3 separate regions of the Mus musculus genome follow, and all the other regions are reported to be linked to region 2. The links are microRNA targets in miRTarBase. Many come from high-throughput screens and were not tested one by one. Region 2 holds a microRNA gene; each other region holds the end of a gene's coding sequence.

What was found. The annotated mature microRNA mmu-miR-3067-5p reads AGUUCUCAGGCCCGCUGUGGUGU and lies in region 2 at 4,043-4,065, opposite strand. An mRNA with a match to its seed (bases 2 to 7 or 8) in the 3' UTR can be bound and repressed. Matches are read on the target gene's strand: a 7mer-m8 pairs with bases 2 to 8, a 7mer-A1 pairs with bases 2 to 7 and ends in A, and an 8mer does both.
Region 1: miRTarBase lists E4f1 as a target of mmu-miR-3067-5p. Seed matches in the 3' UTR shown: 7mer-A1 at 2,520-2,526.
Region 3: miRTarBase lists Vldlr as a target of mmu-miR-3067-5p. Seed matches in the 3' UTR shown: 7mer-A1 at 2,951-2,957, 7mer-A1 at 4,089-4,095, 7mer-m8 at 4,534-4,540 and 7mer-m8 at 4,810-4,816.

What each region holds. Positions count from the first base shown.
Region 1 is chr17:24,441,324-24,446,741 of GRCm38, forward strand. It overlaps E4f1 (E4F transcription factor 1), which reads right to left. Exons shown (of 14, transcript NM_001301784.1): 7 at 5,191-5,357; 8 at 4,623-4,832; 9 at 4,123-4,231; 10 at 3,799-4,016; 11 at 3,453-3,651; 12 at 3,224-3,366; 13 at 3,091-3,153; 14 at 2,455-3,014. The coding sequence ends at 2,658. It overlaps Dnase1l2 (deoxyribonuclease 1-like 2), which reads right to left and starts at 1,778. Exons shown (of 8, transcript NM_025718.3): 1 at 1,684-1,778; 2 at 1,317-1,476; 3 at 1,082-1,170; 4 at 910-993; 5 at 729-829; 6 at 535-647; 7 at 173-424. The coding sequence starts at 1,460.
Region 2 is chr12:81,162,264-81,170,229 of GRCm38, reverse strand. It overlaps Mir3067 (microRNA 3067), which reads right to left and starts at 4,079; the gene lies at 3,996-4,079. It overlaps Smoc1 (SPARC related modular calcium binding 1), which reads right to left. Exons shown (of 13, transcript NM_022316.2): 8 at 2,531-2,723; 9 at 1,919-2,001; 10 at 1-44.
Region 3 is chr19:27,246,553-27,251,970 of GRCm38, forward strand. Vldlr (very low density lipoprotein receptor) reads left to right here. Exons shown (of 18, transcript NM_001161420.1): 16 at 458-538; 17 at 1,305-1,474; 18 at 2,553-5,418. The coding sequence ends at 2,588. The region is part of intron 3 of Gm35438 (a long non-coding RNA gene); the gene reads right to left. Among named protein-coding and RNA genes, the nearest start is that of Vldlr, 32 kb to the left of the region's middle.

The DNA.
Region 1 (5,418 bases), not on the chromosome of region 2:
CAGAAGTGTGCCAACAGTCCCTTCCTGGGGGCTTGGCACTCTAAGGACCCTTGGCGATAATTGCTTTTGCTAGAGCAAGCATCAGTGTAAACTCCCAGCAGGTGAGCATTTCTGTGAGCCCTCTCCTGAGGGGGCTGACTAGTATGTCTGCTGGAGCCCTGTCCACACTCACCTGGGTCTGATCTAGGTCAAATTCCTCCTGAAAGTTGTGAACTGAGGCTGAGTGGGGCTTCAGGCTCCTGCGCAGATGGGCGCCACTCACTACAATCCGGTCATAGGCACAGTCTGAGTTGCCCACTGTGGTGTCCGCACTGTCTGGGATGAGCCATTTAAACACCTCACTGCTTCGAAGGCGGATCGATGGCCAGTCATGCGCCTTCACGTACTTGCAATCGGCATTAAAGTCACCCAGAAACAGCATGTCCTGTAGGCAAGCACAGCCAGTACATCTTAGCAGTGCTCAGTAGTCCAGACCTCTGAGAACACTTGTGGTCTGGGACGTGAGTTGGGGGCGGGGGGGGGGGTGTTGCCTACATCAGTGTTCCACTTGTCAATGACATCAAGGTACACATCGTAGAGCGCGTCGATCTCTGCCACCGCCTGGTGTGGTGCTGCATGGAGGGGGATCAGCACCAGCTCCTTGGTGGCTGTGGAAGGTGGGGGGATATGAGGGTCAAGGGAAGCCTGGAAGAGGTAGGCTTGTCTGGGAGAGGGCAGTATCAACTCACCACAGCTAGGAACTGAGAATTTGACCACAAAAGGCTCCCGGCTGAAAGCGTCCTCTGGGTCTGGATACTGGTACGTGCTCACCACTGACGCTACATCTTTCCTGGGAGCAGCAGAGAACAAGATGTCTGGAGCTGCTTACCTCTGCCCCAATGTGTCCCCTCCCCGCAACCCGCCTCTCACCTGTAAACAAACAGGTACATTTCCTTGTACTGGTCACGTCCGAGTGGCTTGCTGCTCACAAAGCCGTACTCGTGCTTGGACACTCTGCGGAGAGAGACGCCAGTCCCTGGGTCAAGGCACCGAACCAAGCTTGTGATCTTGGCTGGGGTTGTGGGGCCCAGCCCTGCCACACCTGTTAATTTGCTCCATGAGCAAGGACACTGCACTTAGGTCTGGGTCTCGTACCTCTTGCACCAGGGCGATATCATAGCCGGCCAGGATCTGGAGGAAAACCCACAGATGCACCGTCCCAATCAGCCTAATTGCCCAGAGCCTAGCTCCTGGTTCCCATCTGCTCCCCACTTCCCAAGCCCTCCCTCACTCACCCTCCATTGCTCCCAGCCCATCCCCACCCCACTTGGCCTCACCTGTGCTATGACACTGCCACAGTCTGGATCTGACACTTTGTTGTCTCCAAAGCTCTGAACATTGAAGGCTCCAATCCGCAGCGCTGTGGCTCCCATGACCCCCAGTGCCCAAACTGCTGTCAGCGGGGCCCAGGGCCAACCCATGACAAAAGCAGAAAACCTCGAGACAGAAATGTCCCAGAGTAACACCAAACCATACCAAGTCACAGCATGTCTGTAACCAACTAGATCTGGCACCCAGGATTGGCCTGCAGCCCGACACACTCCCGTGTTTCTCCAGTGTGTATGGGGACAGTGATGTCATTGCAAGGCTGGAAAGATTCGATTTCCATGCAGTCTCTGGCCCAGCCCAGCCCCTTGGACTTACCTGGGCTGTGAATAAAATATCCCAAGTCAGTGAGATTCAGTCCAGACTGAGGGCCTAAGATGGCTCAAGATGAACTGCAGTCTTGGACCCACAATAGCTCTGATTTTAAAGCACTCAGGTATTTGATGCCCTGGACCAGGAAGGGGCTGGGCTACAATGGGAACCACCCCTTCCATGGGGTGGATTCCAGAACTGGCTCCCATTCCAGAGACCCAAGAGGGCAAGGGACAGAGCATATGCTAAGCCATTTCCATTAACTGAAAATCAGGGCAAAAACCCCTAGCCACCTCAACACTATACCGAAAGGGACAGCCATGCCCATGGCCAACTTCTCTTTCTTCCTAGAGTTGTATCCCCTCAGGGAAGCAGGCTGAGAAATTAAGAAAGCCCAGCCCTAGCCTGCTCTGCCATCTCCTGCTGCTTCTCCAACACTGGCCCATCACAGAAGCAAGCATCAGCTACTCGGGCTGACCCAAGTTCCTAGGTCTCTAGACCAACCTCATAGCCCCTGGCAGTCCCAGATTTGGAAGCTGAGAAGGAACACCTCATACCCTAGCAGACCTGGGAAAACTGGAGTCACAGATCCAGCTAGGTAGGGTAGGAGGCTGTCTGTCAACATGCCAGAGACACCCACGCGCCTTGAGGCGCCACCAGGGCTAGAAGCCAAGAGTGTTGCTAGAGGGTGGCCTAAGCAGGCAAGTGTGTCCAGAGGGTACCTATGAAGGCAGTTGTGCCAGCCCCAGAGGCTGCCTCTACCCAATCACAACAAACTGCAGGTTTTTTATGTTTTATTGTAAAGCAGAAAACAAACAAACAAAAACAATCCCAAAACTGCCTGTTCTCTCTCTCTCTCTCTCTCTCTCTCTCTCTCTCTCTCTCTCTCTCTCTCTCCTTTGGCTGCCTGAAGTCTTCTGACCAGGCAAGTGCGGGCAGACACTCAGGGTCCTCGATCTTCCACAGCAGAGGCCCTCAAACTATACGATGACCGTCTGTACCTCAAGCTGGCCCTCTGGTGAAGCAATGACCAGCTCTCCTCCGTGCTCAAGGATCTCTATGTCCTCTGATGACACCATTGTCACAGTGGCCTGTTCAGTACTGTTTGGACCTGCCCGGGCTGTGAGCACAGTACCCTCACTGATCGCTGAAGCCAGTGTCATGGCCACCTGCTCAGTAAGACTCTCAGGAGTGGCAATGGTGATCGTGTCTGCAGCAGTTGCCTCCGAACCCAGTGCTGTCTCCTGGTCCATGGTGACATTCTGCACGATGATCTGGTGCCCAGCACCAGCCTGGTGCACGATCTGCTGGACCACCTTCATGATGTGACTGTCCACCTGCAGAGAGCATGGCTCAGCCTGAGGGGCTGCCCAGCAGTCCGGTGATCCTCCCATCCCTCACCCAGACCCTCACCTCTGTCTGCGTGCCCTCAATGATCTCGGTGGCTTCACTGGTCTCTGTGTCATCTGCAGTGGCCTGGACAGTTGACTGGAGGTCATCATGGGCTGTCCCGAGTCCAAACCTGCCCCACCATCTTTATACCTACCTCAATAATGTACTCTTGGGTATCAGCTACCACAGACGAGAACTCCACCAGCACGGTGTGGGGGTCTTCTGCAAGCACAGTGGCAGCCGCAGAAGGGCTCTCCTCAGACACCAGCAACTCCTCCACTTCTAGCAGGCAGCCCCCTGCCAACAGAGATGGTCAGCCCAGTCTGGGCCACTTGACCCCAGCCCTCACGCCCTCACCCTCTCCTGCCACGTGTGGCTCAAACCTTTAGTGCGCAGGTGCCGGTTGAGTGTGCCATGCTCCGCGAAGCCACGGCCACACTTGTAGCACTTGAAAGGTTTCTCGCCTGTGTGGTGCCTCACATGCCGCACCAGAGAGCCCTTCTCCCGGAAGCCTCGGCTGCAGAACTGGCACACGTGGGGCTTTTCTTCCAGGTGTGTCCGGAAGTGTACTTGCTGGGCATTCTAGGGAGACCTTTCTGTGACAGCCTGCTCTCCACCGTACCCCACCCCCAGGTCTGAGGCCAAGAGTAAACAGACTAGGCTAGGAAGAGGGCATTAGACAGCGGAGGGTGGTTTGGGTATAAGGATCTCTGCAGGACCGCAGCCCACCTTGGTTTTGTAACGCTTGCCGCACTGGGGACAAGGGAAAGGCCTCTCGTCTGAGTGAACACGCCGGTGGCCCCGCACATGAGCGATGGTCTTGTAAAGCTTCCCACAGTCTCCACAACGGAAGCGGCGCTCGTGCACGTGCACCTCCTGGTGCTTCTTGAGCAGGTAGGCTTTGGGGAAGGCCTTGCCACACTGTGTGCAGGTGAACGGCCTCGGCGCTGAAGCCATACCCAATGTCAGGGCATTTTCACCACCCACAAGCCTACCAGCTGCCAGCCCACGGGACCACCCTACCCACGGACCCCTCACCTCCCTGCTACCCACCTATGTGACCTCTCTTGTGGGCCTCCAGCGTGGCTGCTGTTGGGAAAGTCTCACTGCACTGAGGGCACGGGTGGGTCCTGGGCACGGTGGCGGCCTCACTGGCCACCTGCTGGGAGACCACAGACCAACCTCTAGTACCTACTGTAAGCTACGCTTCAATGGTACCAAAAGCAACAGTCAGCCCTCTTCCCTCCAGGCTTTAGGTAAGGGAGTTAACAGTCTAGAGAGCAGTAAAGCAGAAAGAAATGCTACTCTTCAAGCCAGGCATGGTGGTGCAGCCTGCAATTCCAGTACCCAGTAGAAGCAGGAGAACCAAGAACTGAGGTTAACACTGGCTACACTGTAAATTTGAGGCTACCTGGATTACACTAGACTGTTTCTCAAAGACAGAAAAAAACTAAATAAAAATGAATGAGGCAGCTAGCAGCTCCCACCCCCACATGAGAAGCAAACATTGGGTCAGCCCCGTCAGAGGGAGCAAGACAGTAACAGAAACCTACTGTCTCTATCTGCTCCACCTTCAGCAGAGGCAGTTCAGGGGACCCATCTCCCAGGCACTGGGGACTGGACCCAGAGGGAGGGGCTGGCTCCAGAGCACTCTCCTCTCCAGCAACCCTCTCAAGGACGATGCCAGAATTCTGCATGGCCTGATGTAGCAGGTTCTCACGGCTGTTCTCACTGGAACAGGGGAGCTCCTCCGAGTCTGGGGACTATAAGGGAGATAGAGGGAGAGAAGGAAGGAGGCAGGCCTGTCAGGCAGCCCAGCACAGGGCACCCATTCCCCCACCCCCACCCCCCGGCAGACTCCCCACAGGCCCATCTCTGGAGCCCCATGCTGCACAGCCAGCTAGCTGACTTTGTTCTCATTAAATTCCACCCCGTTCTCCCTAGACTTGAACTCGTACTCCCTCGCTGCTTCCCTGCCTTGACAGGCCATCTACTAAGCTCTCCCCACAGCCTGCTGTGCTTTCTTGGGGTGGGAGCAGGAGGTGATCTTGCTCTGGTCCTAATGAAGGCAGGATCTGACTACAACCTGGCCTGTGGCCAAAGCTCAGGAAGATCACCCACCTCTGGGGTCAGGGCTTTCATGCCCAGGGGAAGCTCCTGCATCTGGACGTGGACTTCATGGATGACAGTACCCTTGGCATCTGTCACCAGGTGAATCACAGGTGATGTCTCCATGGGGTCTCCTGCCACTGATGATGTCACCGTCCCCACAGTGGAGGCACTGGACCCTTTAAGGCAGAGTTCAATGAGTCCTTGAAGAGCCTGGTAGCCAATTTGGGAAACCCCAGT
Region 2 (7,966 bases):
CAGCAGGCTGGTAATAAATTCCATCTTCTTCCCTTCAGGACAACCTAAAAGACAAGAGGAGATTTGAGGGCAGAACATAGGTAACTTACCAAGGCAACACCTTCCTCAGCTACCACCCCCTCAGAGTCTTTGTCTAGCCAGAGACTGAGGATGTGTTCAGTGCTCAAATGACCTCCATAGGCCTCCATTATCGTCTATGCATAAGCCACACAGAAGCACCAGAAGGTAATTAAGCTTTCAGCTTGCTTCCATCCCACAGAGTTCTGCTGAGGACCAGCGCAGGAACTACGGAAATGCCAGGAAGACAACAGACAGGGCCCTCCGCCTCACAGAGTTCACCATAATATCCTGGGCCAGTGTACTCAAGACAATAACCAGGCAGGCACTGTTCTGATCTGGGGACAAGAACTGATGTCAAGGAAGGACAAGGAAGGGGGGAATCTGTGGTTTAAGTGAACATATCCAAGCGCTCCTCTTCTTGCCCCCCCCCCTTTATCCAGTTGAGATGGTAACTGTAGACTCCTCTGTGAGGACCCATGAGTTCCTATTCTTGTTTCATTATTTCAGCAAAAGCCCAAGCACAGATGCTCCTGTCTCAGATCCATGCCACAAGGAGAAGCATTGCTGGGGAAACCCTGCCCTACCACTGCAGAGATGGGAGCCCTACTCGCCTGCATCAAATGTGCCCTTAGCATAGCCACAGCCCCACCCCTACACCTGCAGCAACTAAGCCCTCATTTCTCCAACCTTCCAGGTCTTAAACACGACTTCTCAGAGCAGTGTGGACTCAGTAGGTTCTTGCTGTCTTTCCCATAGCACCTCACTCTTCTCTGGAGGGAACCTGTCCTGAATCTATATGTGCATGTCTTCCTTTACCTGCCTATGACTTGTCTCCTCTACTCTGTGAACCTCGTGTCTTTGAGGACTAGATTAAGCCGTATCTGGCATGAAATAGAAGGGCCATTTCCGTCTGACCTGGGGTGGCTACAAGAAGGCACCCTGGCCTCCCTGCCTCAACTTTTGTGACACTGTGATTTCTACTAACCTCACACAGAAAGTCCCAGACTTTCAGGACTCCCTGCTTCTCACTTTGGAGTCTTGCCAGGTAATAGGAAGGTGGCACCAGTTCCCACCAGGACAGACCTAATCTTGTACTGAGTAAAAACAGCTATCAATCACTAACTTAGCTCCCACCTACATAGAGGCATGGGGGTGTTTTCTCTAACAATGCTCTCCTGTGTGTGTGTAGGTCTAAGACAGGGTCACCCGTGAGAAAATTTCTCTGTGCTTAGGCTTTTTCTAGAATGGTGCACAAAGAAGAGGAGCTTAAGAGGATTTACAGGGGAAAGTCCACAGTCCACATAGCCTGTATTTAGAATTTTTATTGCCACTTGGAGTTTCCTACAAATAAGGAAAAACCCACCCACAGCATCAATTTTGGGGTCTTGAGCTATTGCCGGTATGTCTCATATCACCCCTAGTGGCCACCCTGTGTCATCAAGGGTCATCATATAAGCAATCCACAGAACAGGTGACAGACACCAGACAGGCCCCTCAAGGAAGCCACTCCCTGTAAGCTATCTTTGCTTTACAGCCTCCCAAAATGCCATCCCCACTTCACTGACTTAGAAAATGACCGTGACACTCCAGTGACAGAGCTCTAAGTCCCTGACTACATTCTTAAGACAAGGAGAAAAGAGCAAGGGAAGAGAACAGTGTTTTCAAGGGCACAGGACTGACTGGCTGTAGATTCCACAGTTTCCAGGTCTGTGCTCCTATGATGAGCCTTCCCAGCATGCCTTGCTCTGTGCTGCCAATTGGGAAAACAGACATAGAGGAGAGAGTGGGACCTGCACAGGGGAGAGATGAGAAGCCCAAAGAACTGCCGGTGCAGCCCGGGCAGGGCTGTGTCGCCTACCTGGCAACTCCCTGTCCTTGAAAGGGTCATCGGCCTCTATGCTCTTGGCTCTGGCGTCACTCTCGCAACTTGGCATCACATAGCTTATGGGAGAGACAGAGAAGTGAGGCGTTTTGAGGGGGTTGGCAACTGAGTCTTCTTCAGCCACTACTGCCCAGCAACAACCTGTGCTTTCACTAAGCCTAGAGCCCTTGGGAAGGAAAGTAAAACAGTCCCTGAACTGTCTGGAAGCTACAAGACAATCCAGTACACATGCTCCCATTGAGACATGTTCAGGCATGTCATTTTAACCACGCAAGCGTGATAACAATGCCATCTCTAGTCTGCACGTGGATTTGGGGGGGGGGGTTGTCACTTCAAGACCAGGGTGGTGCATAAGATTTTCAGCAGGGAACTGGTGTTGAGAGAGATTAAGTAGGTTTCGAAAATCCACAAATCGGTGGTCAGGATCCAGGTCCTCCAGGCCCTTCCGCTAGACCCTCATCTGCTTTGGAAAGGAGACTTCAGTCTCCTGTGACTTGAGTCTGTGAGAAGTAGGGCAGCGAAGACAATGAAAGCAGAATAACCAGAGGCGAGCCAGTCCCTGTCTCAGGATGCTCAGAGCGGGCTTACCGTGTGGAAGTCCCCGGCAATGGGCGCCCTGTGTCTACTAGGACGCACCAACAGTAGCCTGTGGATTGGTGGCATTGCACCGGCTTATAGAGCCCACCAGGAGCACACTCGGGGATCACAATGCCCTCTCGGGGATTCTGCCGCGCCTCTTCCAGGGCACTCTGTCTTTCCTGGTCACAGGAATGGACTTTCTCTGTAAGATAAGATGCAGCTCCTGGTGATGAGTACTCCTCCTCCTGTCCAGAACCCATAATAAAGAGCCAGGACCAGGCCTGCCCCCAAAGAACCGTGAATCATCCCCGACACCCATGTCTTGCATGCTGCCAACGTGAAAGAAAGCCCCAGAGGGCTGGCCGGAGCCTCCCCGTGGCTGTCTACTCTGCCAGAGACTCATCAGCACTCTCACCACAGAGGCTCTCTGTAGCAACAATCCAGACAGGACATCAGGGCTACTCTGAGCTGCAGTGTGCTCCAGAGCTGGAATGTCCCTCCAGTTTTAGAGTTGTCCCTGCCGACACGCCGGCTACAGGCTTCAGAAGAGGCAATAGCCGGACTGCCCTGCAAGTGAATGCTGGATTGCCTATGCAAGGGGGCACTCCCTAGGCCAGGCATGCAGGACAGAACCACAGACCACCACCCTTGTGCAGGGTAATGTTCCACACCCCGAATGCGAGTGAAGCAAGAGCCAGCCCTGGTTGCTTTCGCCCTCCAACACAGGGAGACAAAGAAAGCTAGTGGGCTTGAATCTAATATTCATTAATGCTCCCATTAGACAGGAGTAGGAACAAGGGATGCAGAAAGGTATCTGTAGTTGGCATCTTCAGGAACGTGTGAACACGTCCAAGTAGCCAAGCCAACTCTCTCCAGAGCCAGGCAGAGGCAGAGACAGAGACAGTGACTGGGGCCCTATGCCAGGTGTACACACTCGCAAGAGCCCCACACCTATCGGACGCTTTCTTGGACAACCCTGCCCAGTAAATCACCCCATCTTCTCTTCCTGATCTTTTTTTTTCCTTTCTTTGTTTTGCTGCGGGTTTTATTTTGAGGGCTAGGCGATGTTATTGCTTGATTTTAATTTTTTTGTTTAACTGCTTAAAAAAATAAAGCGTGGCATTTGCTTCCTTACCGCAGACAACATTTTAAAAAGAAAACCCGTGCAGCCCTTATGGCCCCTAAAGTTAACCCCTCCACCTTCCTTAGATCTTGGCAGGCAAACACCAACACGGCTTCAAGGGGATTGCACCGGGGGCTTGGGGTAGATCTCTCAGATCCAGTTTGGTAGCCTCATTCCTCCCTCATATTTCATGCCATGAAAGAGCTGACAAAGAAACAAAGGGAGAGGGAAGCAGCTTTTACTGGCACCACGCTTGTGTAACGACCTCTGACAGGGGCTTTAAATTAAGACGCTCTAGGCCAACCCCTCCAGCCATAAATCAGACTTCTGCAGATGCAGGGGGAAGAGGAGGCACACCTCCCCCTCTCCCAGGGCAGCCGCTTGGTGAACCTAACTTCACACCACAGCGGGCCTGAGAACTGGGGAAGCTGGGGCAGGAGTTGGGCTGAAAGAGACGCCGACCGGGGGGCTTGAGCCCTGTGGATGGATTTCTGGAAATCCTTCGGTGTCTATGACCACCTGTGGAGAGTTAAATCATAAAGACAATGAAGCCCCCAAATCTAGAAAAATGCAGTGTAGCATGGACTAAGGAGAAGACGAAATATAGGGTTTGTCGCTTTACTCTCCACTCTGAAAGTCTGGTGTCTTGTAAGGAAGATCCTGGCATGACAGAACAGTTGGGCTGGCAAGATGGGCTGTTTCTGTAAGTGAAGTGCCTGCCACAGAAGCAAGGGGACTTCAGGTCAGACCCCCGGCTTGTGGATCCAAAGCCTGGCATGGGCACCACAGTTCCATAACCTCACCAACTGACGGAACAGATGGATCCAGGAGCATCCCTGGGGCTCATTGGTCAGCCATCCCTGCTGAGCTCCACACTAAGAGACAGTGTCTCAGAACAATAATAATGATAATGATAATAATAGTAATAATAGTAACAATGCTGAGACCTTACCTTCATATGGATGTATATACATGTACACCCTAAACCACATCCCCACATGAACATATGTATACACACACAAAAAAAAAAACCATTGAGAAAAGTATACAATTTGTCTTCCAGAAAGAAAAGATATCTCTTTAATGGTTTTTTAGGATTAATGATAAGAGCAAATGTTCCTGAATGAAATGCACCAGGCCATAGTAGGGCTTTGCCTGTCTAACCTCTCAGCTCACCTACCTGGGGCACTATGATGATCTACACTTTATAAACAAGAAAAAGAGATTCTGAAGAGGGTGAATTTTCTTAAGTTCACTCAGAGAGAAAACTGAAGCTCCACTGGAGCACTCCAGACAATCCAGCCCACCTTGCTAGCCTCTGGCCACCTGCTCTTCAGCGAGAAGTTTTTACAGCGGGCTCCTCCAGGTCAGACACCTAACAGACACCTAAGATCTGCATTCAAGAGCAGACATGTTCGTGCCCACAGCTCTTCTGACAGAGCATCCCTTCTCAGCCTGGGCACGTGAAGCTTGGACCTCAGAGTTTCTGTCTCTTTGTCTCAGAACTAGAAAACCAAAACCCAAATTTGTACTTCACCCGTTATTACATATTCATCTACACGGTGAATGGGAATAGCAAACATTTATTTGAGTACCTACAAAGTGACAGATTTGGTGATGGGCCTGCTACGTATATTAACTCAATTCACCCTGTTTCCAATCTTTGGAGGCATATTAACACCAGGAACACAGACTGGCTAAATAGTTAGATCAAGATCATGAATTAGGGATCCGAGGCTGTGGCTCAGTTAATACAGTACTTATCTGGCATGCCAGAAGCCCTGGGTTTGATCCCTAGTCCTGCATAAACCAGGTGTGGTGGTGCATATCTGCAATCCCATCATTCACGAGATGGAGACAGGAAGATCAGAAGACAAGCCTAAGTTACACTAAGAACTATCTAATAAGAAAGAAAAACAGAGATGGGGGTGTGGGAGAGGGAGAGAGAGAAAAGGGAAGGAAGGAAGGAAGGAAGGAAGGAAGGAAGGAAGGAAGGAAGGAAGGAAGGAAGGAAGGAGGAGGGAGGGAGGGAGGGAGGGAGGAAGGGAAGGAGGGAGGGAGGGAGGGAAAATGAAGGAGAGAGGAGGGGAGGGGAAAAGAGGGAGGAAATCATAGCTAGGAGAAGGCAGAGGTGGGATCCCAGCCCAGCCCACCCATGTTCTTTACACGCTCTCTACAGTAGCATCTTTCATTGCTACAGGCTAATCCAAGCTTTATTTAATCCTATACTTTCCTTACACGTAACAGTGCATGATCACAATAGAGTCTCCAATGCCTTTGTCTCTATGCCCTGTGTTGGCTAGTCCACATGGACGATGACTGATTTTAACTCACAAAAGAACAGTGTGGTGAGAAGCCCAGGCCTTCAGAGGGCTTGCAGCTTCTGCTTTCATAGCGTGCTCTTATATATTCTCTAGCCTGCTGAAGGAGCAGAGGGAAGTGGTTTGGTCGGCTAGCAACATGACCCAGGTCATCTTGGATGTTCCAGTCCTACCTGTCCTCCATTTAGAATAGCCCCAAAGCCAATTCATGTGAAACTAGTGAGACAGCTATTCTATCAAACAGACCGATAACATTGGCAAGAATAAATTATTTTTCTGATACACTAGTAGGTTTGGGCTAGCTTGTTTTAAACAATGAGTGCAAAATATCTAGCTAGAGCTGCTGAACTCTTGGTCACTTTAAGCCAAGGGGATCCTCGTAGCCCCTGCAAGCCCTTCAGTCAGTACCCTGGGTGCCATCCAAACAGTGATGAGTAAGTTCAAGGGAGTGGAGCCTCACTTATGTATCTGAGGACCCGGAAGCCAGTCCATCCTTGGAGCCACACTGGACCTTGTCAGTCACCTACCACATGAGTCTCACCATCCACTTCTCCCAGTTTTCTCAGGCTGGCTTACAGAGTGCAAGCTGGGATCAATTTCGAGGGTCTTTTTAACTACATTAGGTCACAGAGCAAGGAACTGTGCTGATGTGAAGTATGCCATTCCAAAACACTTCATCTCTGCTTAGGAAAATTGGTGAAATGGAGATAAGATGGAAAGGTCTGGCCCTGTAACTATGAGCATGAGCCAGGGCTACCTGGATATGCCTGGAAGACATAACCCACACCGTAGGAGAGCAAGCTTGGGTAACCACACCCACTTGTACACTTCCATGTATGTCCTTCCAACCTTTCCCTGAGATGGTGCCAAGCAGGGAGAGCTTAGTCAGTCTCCATTTGGCAAAGAAACCTCTGACTCAAAGAAGGAGCTCAACAGAAAAGTATCTCAAGTTGGGAACACACAAAGTCCTGGCCTTGCCACCAGAAGACATACAGTGTGCCTTTACCCAGTCACACGTGCCAGGGAAGAGAGAAACCATGGGAGAACAACACTGAGCAAGGCTGGAGGCAGGGCTGGAAGGGCAGGTTGAGTGAGATGAACACAAACCCTGTGTGCGGGGCCCAGAGCCCAGGTCGTTATGTGTCGGCCAAAATGGGATCAGCACAGAGGACGTCACAGTCTGCTAAGACTGGCTCAAGTCTCAGAATCTCACAATTACCCATGGTAATTAGGAGCAGAGAGGGTGGACAGCATGAAGTCTTAGCTAATCCCTTAACGTTGCTGGGGCCCAGAGTTTATCCTCTCTTCCAGGACTCTTCTCCTTCCTCGTCTTTTTTTTAATTATTATTTATATATATATATATATATATATTTAAAGCAAAAATGGCCAACAAACATAAACATTGCAGGATTCAGGCTGGTCTAACTTTCAGGTTACTGACTTCAAGAGAAGAGACAGAGGAGGAAGTGAAAAGTTTCTGAGTAGCCAACACCTAAACACCTTTGAAAGTCAAGTCATCAGCAACCAGTGGGCTGCCCTTACTGTGGTGACAGAAAACAGAAAGTTCATGGTGGAGAAAGATGGAGAGATGGTGGAGGGGGTTGTTGCCAAAGAAGGACTATATCACTATATCACTCTCCAGAAACACACACACAGAGACACACAAATTCAAACACACACTCACACACATGCACACACTTAAACACACACAAGTCTCTCTCTCTCTCTCCCTCTCTCTCTCTCCCTCTCTCTCTCCCTCTCTCTCTCTCTCTCTCTCTCTCTCTCTCTCTCTCTCTCTCTCTCTCACACACACACACACACACACACACACACACACACACAACTAGAGGGAGATTTCAAGGACGAGGCTCATGAATTAGGGAGATGGCAAGTCTAAACTATACAGGCAAGCCAGTCAGTTAGAAATGCAGGTAAGTAAGATGAGGCAGCCTTGAGTCTCAGATCAATAGGCCGCACCTACAGCTGAAAGACACAAAAGC
Region 3 (5,418 bases), not on the chromosome of region 2:
AACCTTGGCCTTAACCGGGTTCTTGGTTTTTATAATCCAGGTACTTCAACTCCTGTGACTTACAGTGAGACAAAAGATATCAACACAACAGACATTCTACGAACTAGTGGACTGGTTCCTGGAGGTATTGGGTCCAGCACTGCAAACTGTTAATCTCAACTAACTGCCGCTTAAATAATTAGTGCAGCTTTTAACTACTGGTTCTGTCCCAACTGGCTACTTGTGCCTAAAGCCCAAAGATTTAGACCCTGCACATCCTGGATTTCTCTTGACTTATTTAAACCTATAGGTTTAATGTAACTCAAATAATTATAAGCCTAAGTTCTTCTGATATCTAATTATAATGGATACTAGAAATCAATATTAAGTACAAAGGTATAAGGATCTCTACCTAATTCGTAGATGTCTAAGTCTTAATTCAAATCCTTATAGACTGATTACTTGTATGTCCTTGTAGGGATCAATGTGACCACAGCAGTATCAGAAGTCAGTGTTCCCCCAAAAGGGACTTCAGCTGCCTGGGCCATCCTTCCTCTCTGTAAGTAAATTTGCTTCTCATATAGATTTTTATGGACAATTTTAGTTCATCTACAGCCACCTTCCAGTGGTCTCTTTTGCTGTCCTAACACATGTGACACTGAATTCCATTTACCTCCTCACCTACCTGGCACCTACTCTTCAGTGTCATCTTTCCCTTGATGGTGAATATCCATCAGTTATCTACAAGATCTTATGGGCTGTTGAACATGTTAACCTTGCTTATCCCTATTTAGAGGAAGTATCTCCAATAAGGGTTTCATTCCAGTCCCATTTATTGTATATAGTCATTCACAAAGAGGAGAGACGCAAATGGTCAAATGCTTTTTGAATGAGCTGTAGAATTCATGAAGAGTAAATTAAAAGTAGTTAAGTATTTTCAAACTCAGAGAAAAGCATCTCTAAAGCCACTGTCAAGCAGGTGAATTTGAAGGCACTTTGCTTTACTGTCCCCTTCGACTGAGCTTACTGGTTGACCTAACACACCAGAACCACTTGACTAGCATGCCAAAGGCTTCTGTAATTTTTTATGTAGCTGGCCTTGGGTTAGGGCTCAGGACTCTATACTTCCCTGGGTGTACTTCCCCCAACTCCAGTGCAAAGATTCACACAACCACTGGGCTGAATTTATTTCAAAACTTTGTCTCATCTATATTCCAACTTCTAGTTGTCCAAGCTCCCTAAAACATGGAACTGTTGTTAGTGTTAATTCCCATAGATCCATAAACATTAGACTCCATTTAGTCACCTCTGATTTTTTTTTTCAGTGCTCTTAGTGATGGCAGCAGTAGGTGGCTACTTGATGTGGAGGAATTGGCAACATAAAAACATGAAAAGCATGAACTTTGACAATCCTGTGTACTTGAAGACCACTGAAGAGGACCTGTCGATAGACATTGGTAGACACAGCGCTTCTGTAGGACACACATACCCAGCAGTAAGTATACTTTGTCTATATTCACTGGCTTGACATCAGTTGCTTCCAAGGAGACTAGAATCACTAGCTATGGCTACCTGGGCTGGGGAGGAGCATTGAATCCCAGACATTTTATCCAATGACTGCTTGTTAAATACTAAATGTCTGGTCCATGAGAGCAGTCAGTTAATAAGCATTTCACCCACAGAGGAAGGGGAGGTAAGTCCTACCTGGCCTTATTTTAGATGATAGAAATGACATATGAATAGTGTATGAACCAACAAGCTCCTTTGTAAACTTTGATTCCTTGCATACTAATACCTAAAGGTAAATCAGTGTGGACACATGAGAATTGTGGATAGAGGAGTTGACTGAAAGTCAATAGCTTGAGTAAGATTCAATTAGCCAAAAGTAATAAGTGCTTTCCTTGGAGAGGTGCTCCATCCCACCCAGAGAGACAGCTTTCTACAAGAGCAACAACAGCAATCGCTTGTTCTTCCACTAAAAACTCAAGTACATATTTGGCCTCCACTTCAGGACCATGCTGACTGAACCATGATGAACATGAACAGTGTCCTTGCATGATCTCTGGTGGAACAGGGAGTAAGGTTCAGTGCATATCATATATCTTTTCACATTTGTCTTTAAGATTTATAGTCCGTAAACAGAATCAGTCAAAGTTTTTTTCCAACCAAGTAGGTACAAGTTAAATATCCCATATTTAAAATACTTGGTGTCCAAAGTGTTCAGAGGGGCATGGATTTTGAAGTTTTTGCATACATAAGAAGTTTGAACACAAAATCCATTTGTTTTATATACACTTTACATGACATTTTGATGTATGTTCATTTTGACCACAACCAATAATATAAGGTTAGATGTAGAATTTTTCTTTTGTAGTGTCATGGTGATACTCAGAAGATTTCAGACTTGGAATCCCCTTTTGAATTTTAGATTTTCAGCTTGGGGTACATAAAAAAAATAATAATGTTATGTTTCTGACCTCCAACTCTTTTGGTCTTTAAATGGCCTACTCAAAAGCAAAGTCCACTCCGTAGAGTAACCGCCAAGCTCACCTGAACCTTTGTCTTCTCTGCAGATATCAGTTGTAAGCACAGATGATGATCTGGCTTGAGTTCTGAACAAATCTTGGTCTATGAGGTCTACACCAATAACACCCTACTCTGGAATGGTAACAGAGCCAGCGCTGAAGTCTCCTTTCTTCCTCCCATCTGGAAGAACATCAAGATATCTTTTTGTGGATCAAGTTTGAGTACTTGATCATTTTTATATTACTTTTGTAAATATTCTTGGCCACATTCTACTTCAGCTCTGGATGTGGTTACCAAGTATCTGTAACCCTTGAGCCCCTAGACAGTATTGCCATCTCTGGCCAAATATGCACTTTCCCTAGAAAGCCATATTCCAGCAATGAACCTTGTGCTATAGTGACTCCCACCTGTACATACATTGTATAGGCCACCTGTACATATCCCAGAGAACAATCACTATTCTTAAGCACTTTGAAGATATTTCTATGTAAATTATTGTAAACTTTTTCAATGGTTGGGACAATGGCAATAGGATAAAACGGGTTACTAAGATGAAATTGCCAAAAAAAAAAAAAAATTTGTAACTAATTTTGTACGTATGAATGAAATCTTTGACCTCTGTCGAGGTTTGCAAAGACTGACTTCAAACTACTGTACGTTTTTTTCAAGTGCTAAAAAAAAAATTAAACCAAGCAGCTTAACCATGGTTTTGATTATTCCTCTAAGATGAGCTTCTGGGAACAGTATCACCAAATGTCCCAAACATTTAAGCTAGAGTTAGTTCTTGATGTTGTATACCTAAGCCCATAATCGAGCTAGTATCTTGGATGGTATACAACCAAGAACCAGCTAAACAATTAGATACAGTTTAATATTTGTACCTCCAAATCTATCACTTCCTTCCTTCTTTCCTTCCTTCCTTTCTTCCCTTGCTGGCCTCAAGCTTGCAATGCTCCTGCCTCAGCCTCTCAACTTCTAGAATTACATGGCTGCACCACTTCACCCAGCCTATGTAGTTTTATTTTATAAATGACACTGTCTTCCAGAATTCCTTTCTTTAACAGATTTCTTTTTCTTACTTTTTTTCCCCATGATCTAGAAACACATGCCAAGATTCTCATGAGTTTTCTTACTTTGTCATCCATGTTCTTTTTCTATTTGTAGGTCAAAGACAAGTGCCTTCTATGGCATGGGAAAGGGCTTTATTCTTATAAGAGTCTGGCCTGTCTTAACTAGAAGACGGGTAGGAAGGATACTAGGTAGGCAGCGTTGCTGAACAATCTAAGTTGTGGTTCTTAGCCTGTCCCAGGAACAGCAGCATGGGAGGCTAGGAACTTAACAGAAATGAGGATTCTTGGTTCTCACCCCAAACCTACTTAATCAGAAACCCCAGTAATACAGACCAGAAAACAGTTTTCACAAATTCCTCATGTACTTTGAATATAACATAAAGTTCGACAAAATCTATTCTAATGTGGCTTTTTATGGAGGGTGTAACTGTAATGTATTCAAAATTGTCAGTGTGGTGGCATCAAATATGTAGAGATGGTCTTTCTGTGGAGAATTTGTGGAACTTTAGTGTGGAGAACAAAGAAGGAGTTGGAGATGAAAAAGTGGTACTGTGTCAAGGGAAGATTTTTGTGAGTTTTCCATCATGTTGGCCATCACATCCTGACTGAAGTCTCAAGATTCCTGGAAGTGAAGGAAGACACAAAGCTTAAAACTCAGATGAGATGCTCTGACTCCATCGTGAAGTGGTCACTGAAAAAAATGTTGCTGGTTTCTTGGGATGAAAGAACTGAGCCAGCATCTGAAAAAGATCATTTCATTTAAAAACAAAAACAAAAAACCTTGTCTCTTCTGTAAAAATCCAACATTAGGTAGAACTTGCTGTAATTTAAAAGTCACAAAGTCATTTATAAAAAATGAAGTGATTAAATATTGACCGAGTATTGTTGAGTATTGCTAGAGTAGCTAGTTATCTGGTGAGACTGCTAATTGATTCAGTGTATGATAGTTCACACGGGATGAGAACCTTGGCCTTTATCACCCAAACAAGAACTCTCTATGAGATTGGTTGACGTGAGTTGGTTGAGTCTCTGGAGCATCAGTTTTCAACTTCTGGATCGCAACCCCTTTGGGGGTGGGTAGGTCACATAACAGATATGCTGACTAACAGAGATTGCCATTATGATTTATAACAATATCAAATGTATAGTTATGAACTAGTTATGAAATAATCTTATGGTTGAGGGTCACCACAACATGAGGAACTATATTAAAGACTCGTGGCATTAGGAAGGTTGAGAACCACTTCTCTAGGGCTCAATGTATTAGATAACTCACTAAGGGGTAAAATATGAAATATCAAATCCTAAAAAGGATATTTATAATTAAAACAGCCTGTCATGAGGCAACTGTGAGTGGAACATCTGGGAATTTGAGAAGTATCTGCAAAGTATAGAAAAATCAACAGATTTGTGGACCCTGGTAAAGAAGTTCAGCCAAGTCTCAGTGAAAAATGTTAAGAAGTTGATGCAAGCTGCATGCTCCTTGTTAAGATGCAGGCTTTGCATATCACCAGGTCACTTAGAATATTCTAACAGTTACTCTGAAGATGTGTCATGATTTGTGAGCCTTTGGATCTGGGTAAATAGAGGACAAAACTAATTCTTTGAGGCTTTAACTTGGGCACTTGCCTTGATTCCTTTTATTATTGGAAGTCAGATACCCCCTCTCCAAAGTGAGCAGGCAGGTTTTAAACAGCTTAACTACTGACCAGTTATAAGACTCGCTTTTCAGTCATGGATCCTGCAGAAATCTGAGACCCACCCATATCCTAGCTTTTAACTGTCTTCGCTCCACCCTCAAAGATGCTACTGGGCTTCCTGTGCATCGCATTGCTAAAGAGAA